Kluyveromyces lactis: one gene and its partner. The protein of the gene in region 2 purifies or fractionates together with the protein of the main gene of each other region. This does not show direct contact. Links are inferred from orthologs where the notes say so. Each region holds a gene or a part of one and is shown on either strand. Other genes may lie near its edges.

What was found.
Region 1: the proteins of GLO3 (region 2) and COP1 purify together in Saccharomyces cerevisiae (affinity purification with mass spectrometry; 4 studies listed by BioGRID). This does not show direct contact. The link is inferred for Kluyveromyces lactis from reciprocal best matches to the Saccharomyces cerevisiae genes GLO3 and COP1.

What each region holds. Positions count from the first base shown.
Region 1 is NC_006042.1:478,574-482,499, forward strand, and holds the start of COP1 (coatomer subunit alpha), read right to left. Parts: upstream 3,110-3,926; coding exon 1-3,109. Other genes in the region: CRR1 (putative glycosylase), read right to left, coding at 3,610-3,926. UniProt on the Saccharomyces cerevisiae protein: The coatomer is a cytosolic protein complex that binds to dilysine motifs and reversibly associates with Golgi non-clathrin-coated vesicles, which further mediate biosynthetic protein transport from the ER, via the Golgi up to the trans Golgi network.
Region 2 is NC_006041.1:616,659-620,328, reverse strand, and holds GLO3 (ADP-ribosylation factor GTPase-activating protein), read right to left. Parts: upstream 2,199-3,670; coding exon 651-2,198; downstream 1-650. Other genes in the region: MRX3 (Mrx3p), read right to left, coding at 2,877-3,626. UniProt on the Saccharomyces cerevisiae protein: GTPase-activating protein for the ADP ribosylation factor (ARF) family. Involved in retrograde vesicular transport from the Golgi to the endoplasmic reticulum.

The DNA of each region.
Region 1 (3,926 bases), on a different chromosome or scaffold from region 2:
CTTTGTCAGTAACTGCTAACAAAGCTATGGCATAGATAACGTCTCGGAAGTGCTCGATAGCAACTTCCAATTTGTTAGCCTTAAATGCTTTGAATCCCTCGTTCAACTTCGTGGTGACTACAGAAACGCCAGGAACAAATGGTAGTATTTTAGATTTGTCCTCCTCATCGGCATCAGCTCGGATGTATCCAATAATTGAAGGTAATTCATTTGGTGTAGCACTCATATAAGTTCTTGCACCATCGTATATATCAATGAATGGTGTCCTGAGGGGTTCGAAGTTTACAACGGCTACCTGCTTATTCAAGGCTTGGGCAGCAGCATCAAAGGCTCCAGCGGCTACTAGAACTGCTGGAAGCTTTGAATTTTTAACCCACATTGGCAATTCTGATTCATCTACTTGTTCTTCAGTCACTTCGGATTCTTCGATCTCTAACTCGTCGTCTAATTCCAAATCATTTTGGTCTAGGTCCCAAGCATCTTCTTCCTCTCCAACAGCTTCATCATCAAAGTCTAGGTTATCTTGTTCTCCTAAATCAAACTGGCCAACATTTTGGGTAGTATCTGAAACATTTTCTTCCTTATCATCAGAAATTTCAAGATCTTCGATTTGGCCCAAAAGGGCTTTTTCAAAGAATGAGACTTCAGCTTGCTTTAACGGCCAGTTTTTCAAAGGAGCAGAAATGACAGGGGTTTTTACATTTGTGGAGGAGTTGAGTTCAGTTGGTAGGGAAATGTCTTGCTCATCAATTTCTTCGGATTCCAAAATGGAAGTGGCAAGGTCATCGTCGCCGTTAGCTTTTGCCACTGCATAAGCCAAAGGAGCAGAGCCTGCATTTAAAAAGACATTTGCACGCTTCTGAACTGAGTTATTGTAAAAGGTATTTTGAATCAAGCCGGAAATATCTGATCTATGTTCAGCAATAGACTCCATTTTTGCCAGTTTGGAGTTGTCTCCCTTAAGTAGATATAGGAAAGACAGTTTATCAAACTGCTTAGTGTTTTGATATACCAATTCAGCGATATCTGTGTTACCTTGGATCAAAGCTTCTTTGCCCAATCTTTCCCATACAAGTTCATTGTTCAATTTCTCAGCTTCTTCAAGAGCAACTGTCAAATTACCGTATTGTGTAGCCAAATCAAATCTTGTTTGAGGATCCTCCACGAATTGTAACGCAATTTCAGGATAGCCTGATTTTTGAAGATAAGATATGATGTTTTGACCAACTAAATTTGAATTTTTAATGATACGCAATACCTCAGGGAAATTTTTGTTGACTAAAGTCTTCTTGAAACGATATTCAGTAGGATCAATTGTCAAAATCTCTACTTCCCCTTCACGATTCAAAGCATAGACAAATTTGCCATGTACCTTGTTGATGTATAATGTTCTTTCTAAGGTTTTAATGATACCAGAATCACCATTCAATAGACAGTATTTGATATGGTTCAATGTTGAATAAATTAGGACACCGGTTTCATCCCAACTTGCACTCTTGATTCTAATACTTTCATGGTTTGATGTAACGATTTCCAGTTTTCTGTTTGCGATTGTCAATGTATGCTTACTCATCAATGCAACATATTGGCCATCTTGAGACCACACTGTATACTTGATGTTCTTTAAAGATAATTCATGAAGAATTTTACCTTGTTGGACGTCCATCATTACCACAGAATGAGAATATAGAATCAAAACAGTACCAGGAGCAGCTAATGTGATGTCTTTAACAGTATCAGTTAATTTGATTGACTTTGTGGTTTTGTTATCTAAACTACGAACCTCCAAGCTATTAGTGCTGCCATTGTGCACCACAAATCTGTTACGAGCAACGAAGATCGCAAAACTACCATCATCAGAGATGACGTTGCTAGCTTCAACAGCTCCACTAGGTTGTTTAGGTAAGACACATAAGCTGAACCTGTTGGCTTCCTTTTCGGAGGAGTTGACAAGGACGGAATGTTGGGATGGGTTATAAGACATACTTCTAAATGAACTCCAGGTCTTGCCGATGTTTTTCAAAGAAAGATAAGGTAGAGAAGTGATTCTCTTGTGGTAATCAAACATTTGGACTTGTTTCTCCCTGTTGATAAAGAACAACTGATTTTGGTTTATAGCAGTTGGTGGTCTTTCACGGTCCAACTTAAAGATCATAATACCAGAATCATGAGCAGCACCGAACAGATTTAGGTTTGGGTGAGCTCTCACTAACCAGAATCTGTCATTTTCTCTTTTGAACTGTTTAATTGGAGTACGCTTGTCCAAGTCCCATACTCTTACGGTTTTATCCTCACCAACTGATATAATGAGATTCTGTTGAGGATGGAAAATGACGGAATCAACGTTGTTGGTATGACCTCTACAAGTATCGACCTCCCATGCCTTTGTGGCACTCATTCTCCACAATTTCACTTGACGATCATCAGAACCGGAAACGATCAATGGTAAAGTTGGATGGAAAGAAGCCCAATTTACTCCTCTAGTGTGGCCTTCTAAAATGAACTTCACCACACAATCTCCAAATCCTCCGTCAAGTAAGTTCTGTTGCTGTCTCATTTGTTCTTCGAATGATTGAGTGCCTGGTGCGGAATGTCTTTTTCTTAGCCCTGAAATATCCCAAACTCTAACGGTTTCATCCAAAGAAGCAGAAACCACCAAATCTTCGACTGGATGGAATTGGGCACACATTACGAAGTGGTTATGGCCAGTTAAACATGCTATTTCCTTTCTGTTCTGCCAGTTCCAGATTCTGATGGTTTGATCGTCGGAACTGGAAATAATCCATGGCAATTCGTGATGGAAGAATACTGTACGAACATAGTCTAAATGGCCGTCCAATGTGAATAGACACTTGTTGCTCTCTAAAGACCATACTTTGATAGTATAATCATCACCTGCAGAAACGAAAAGAGGTTGCGTTGGATGGAAATCAATGCCACGTACCGGACCCTCATGATCTTCAAAACGGTGAAGCAAAACACCCATACGGTAATCCCATAATTGGATGGTTGATGAGAAAAGTGCTACCAGAACCCAAGGCCTAGACGGATGAAAAGCAATACCTTTCGCCCTGGTAGACTTTGATTCGAACTTAGTTAACATCTTCATGATGAAAGCAAGCTTTTCAAGACTTCGATCTAAATCTGAGTAAAAACTGTGAGAAATATAAGAAGAATAACTCGGAAGAAAACGTCACAATTGCAGTTAACAATATACCAATTGGTTACGATTGAAGCTTTCCTTCGATGGTTAGTCCTCACTGACAACTCAATTAGACGACAAAGTACCTTGATCGTTGTTTATTAGCCAAAGTCAGCTTCATTCAAGGTTCATAAAATTACTTAAAATACACATATGGCTTACTATTTTGAAATAAGATCGTGTTTTATTTGAAAAGTTGTCCTTTTTGAAAATTGGAAGAATCCGAAGAGTATGCAAAGGACGTAATGGTAGGGTAATAATTACCCGAATTTGTGCCAGACGCATCTCTACAGATTCTATGCGTAAGAGAATGCTAGAAGAGATAGCATATACGAGAGTGGTATACATAGGTCTATATATCTATACATGTATAGTGTAGATGTGAACATCTGGGCAACCTTTACTGATTAATGTAGCATATTAAGCAATCTTTTGATAGGATTTCTGTTATTGTGACTGGAACCCCCATTTGTGGTAGCATCGCGTGACTGCAGAGCGTTTCGTAGGAGCAAATCTTGTTCTTCATGATTTTTTTCCGATGGTTTATTAGTGTCTTGAATAAACCTGTTTGAAGGACTCTGATCCGGCCCATCTCCCTGCTCTTGCTTCAATTGTTTACCTACCAAAAGACTTTGTTGCTGTCTTCCCGGATTTAGGCCATTCTTGTCCAAGGAAGATAAATAAGGTAATTTGCCCTTCTTCCAAATGACTGAATCTTCAAACC
Region 2 (3,670 bases):
CTGATACCGCTAGTGTTGCTAGTATTTCGGTTCAGCAGGACTTTCATTTACTCCTTTCTTCACCTCTTTCTTCTCGAACTGTACACGAGATATACCTCCGACATGACAAGATTTGTTTATGGCCCATGACTACGCGTTAATATCTTACTTCGAATCGACCTTAATCTTCTTGTCTTTCAAGAACATATCATTCTTTAAATCAACTTTCTAAATGCTACTTAATCAATAATTGTCATGATCACTGGATTGCATAATCCTTATTTCGCTACTCAAGCTACTAAATAATCATTAAATAATACGTAAAGCACAATAGACACTTGGTATTCCTTGGAAAATGTAGGTGTGTTGAAAAATCTCAAACTCTGACTACACACTGGGTGTTTGGAATGATCCTATATTTATTATTATCCAAATAATGGCGGTATTCATATTATGGTACAACGAAGAGATGTGTGACTGAAAAGGGTATCCTATTAAGGACAAGCTTTCATCTATTTGTTTATTTGTTTCTATTACAATAAAGCCATAAAGTTTTGTTCAGATTTTTTTTCATAGAAGGGAACTTATGGGGAACTTATGGCACTGATACTATTAACGTTAACTCCTTGATGAATGACTATACTTTATCTTACAATAAACTAACATAGGAATTAATTTCTCATGTAATCTCTTAGGTAGTTTCCTAGCTTTTGCGCTCCTTGTTCAACAGCGTTCTTCAACAGGTCAAATTCGTCATCAGCACCAGACGTGAACTCCATGAAGTTTCGTCCGCCAAGAGAACCGCTTCTGTTTGTTCTTGTTCCATTTTGTGGATTCAATGGTCTTCCAAATTCGTCGAACTGATCTTCGCTCTGGCCTTCGCCAAAGTATGAGGCTGAAGAAATAGATGTGGCATTACTGAAGTTCTGTCTGAGTTTTTCTTGAGCTTCTTTACTTGCCTCGTCATCGTAGCTTCCACGAGAAAACACCTGGTCTGAAGAGATACCCTTTTGTTCTCCGAATTTTTGGGCAATCTTACCTGTGTACTTTGGACCAGAGGCAGCCCTCCTTGATTCGTTAGTTTTGTTTTGTTCCTTTTCTGCATTATTGGAAGTCATACCAAACCCAAGTTTAGCCAACTTTGGTTTTGCCGCATCTTTGCTTCCAGTTAATCCTACATTGGAAGCATTGATTTGATCGAAAGTAATACCATCATTGTATCTGTTGGACCATTCGTCGTCCTCCGCGTCTTCGACATTGGTAGATGGCTTGGTTATTTTGCTGCTAGAGCTGAAACCAGATTTTTGTTGGAATGGCGCAGGAGTGGCATCGTATATGGAATTCGATAAATTATTGGAGTTAAGGGAAGTGGTGGCGAGACTTGAGGCCAATTCTTCCTCTTCCTTGGCTTCTTTTTCGAATTGATCAAACAAATCAGCATCCACCTTCTTGGCTGCAACCGGTTTCTTTGACTTACGAGAGGAGGAAAGGATGGAATGTTTCTTTGCTTGAGAAGAGCCTGCTGATCCTGTCAAAGTAGTTCTCTTAGTTGTAGTGGATCTAGCACCGTTGCTGGTTTTGTTGGCAGAACCACTTCCGGACAGAATAGAAGAACCATTCCTATTGCCAGTATTGGTTGGTGTTAAATTTCTAGGAGATGACGTCAAAGATATGTTACTTTGGTTTACAGGCTTTTCCCAGTTTGAGAAGAAATCATCAACGCTGTTGCTCTTTGAAGAACCAGAACTGCCCCCTGTGAATTCTTGTTCATCTTCTGCTGAAAATACAATTTCACCTGGATGTTGTTCAGCGTCTCTAGCCACTTTTTGATTCAAATGGCTCTGCCATTTCTTGGCTACCTGGCTTGTATATTTAGCCATCCGGTTGCTAGAAGAACCCAAATATTGTTTGCCGTTGTTCTTTAAGAAAAAATCCTTTGCCTTATCGTTACCACCAAGTTTGAACCTTCTCAAATTGTTGACAGTCCATTTGTCCAAATTACTTGACTTCACAAAAGTAATATGGGTACCCATATTTCTGTGCTCACCGGAACAATCGATGCAAAGAAGAACACCGAACGGAACTGAAGTCCAGGTAGGATTTTTGGCGCCACAGTCGAAGCATGCCCTGTTTTCAGACTTGGTTGTCAGTCTAGCAAACACTTTAGTCACGACTTCCTTGTCACAGTACACTTCTCCCGATTCGTCAATGCTAGCCATGGTTTAATTAAAATAAATCCTCTTGTAATGATAATGAAATGCTGAAATTCCGGAAAAAAAAACACCCTTGTGTTAAGTTAATAAGTTGATGCTAAGATACGGCAATAAAGATTCACGTTCCTGTAGCAGATTATCCTGGTAAATTCAGATCGTATCTCAAAAGCTAGATCAATCGCAAGAAAAAACTCTTAAGTATCAATTTTAGAAAACAGAGTACTTAATAACACGCTTTCTTACCACCTTAATAATAACTTGCGAAAAATACTTCTGTAAGTTCGGCGTGTCCCTCCCGCGCTCAAAGTGTGTACAGTAGTCTGTTGCACCTGTTATGATGTTACCAGCAGTGTAAAAAACTTAACTAAGACCAAAAACTACGTTCCTTAACGGTCCAAAATTTGAATAACCGTTCTGTCCTGTGTTAAAACCTTTTCTGTTTAGAAATTCGATCTTTCAATTTAAAGATGTCAAAGAAAATAGCAGATATGAATAGTCTGTATTATTATTACCCGGACCAAACAATACAATAGTGGGAATGGGATGATGAATTAACTGGTATTCATCATGTCCGAGCACCAGTACAATGCTAGCATATGGTATACTTAATATTGAATGTTGTAGTATGTGAACTAAATATAATATTATTGGCATATATAACGGAGACCTTAAGGTGGTATTAGATCAGAATATGTTAATCCATGAAACGTATTTAAACCATTTAGGTTCCACCAAAATACACGTTGCAGTAGCGTAGACGGTCGGTTTAGGGTTGTATATCCAATTGGGTACGCTCTTAGCCACTAAGGACTTTACGGATCCCAGTTTCGTAGAAGGATCAAGAGGTGGTGATTCCAACGTTCCTGTAATGATACATTTTCTTCCCTTGGTTTCAATGACCTGGGCGTTGAGCACAATGGTGGAATTAACTGGAACATCCTTCTGGAACGATATGTCTAGAGATGCAGTGACTCCACGCTTACTGGGAAGTGTAGGGAACCCGCAGAAACACAAAGCCTCGTCTAATAGCAATGAAAGTACACCTTTATGCACTGCATTCTTTTCGTTGCCTAAATTGTGGCCCAAATGATATATGACGTGGATCTTGTTCTGTGCATTATCTGTAAACACCACCGGATCAATTTCAAGCTTAGTTGGTCCGTAAAGCAACCCTTGACCTACGTGATAATCTCTATGAGGTACAGGGATCTTCTCCGATTGACGATGCATCATATAATCAGACGACTCTTTAAGTTTCTTGACCCATTCTGTGGCCCTAAGTTTATCCAATACATCGGTCCGTTGGTCCTGTAGCGGTCTATGTAACGTTTGTAGTGCTGATTCATCCAAATGCCATGGCTTAACGAAATATCCGAAGCCCAATGTGAACCCCGTTAAGGGTAAAATAACGTACCTGGAAATCTTCCCGCTCATAATTCGACCACTGAAAACAAAACTCTCAAACTTGGAAAACTTGC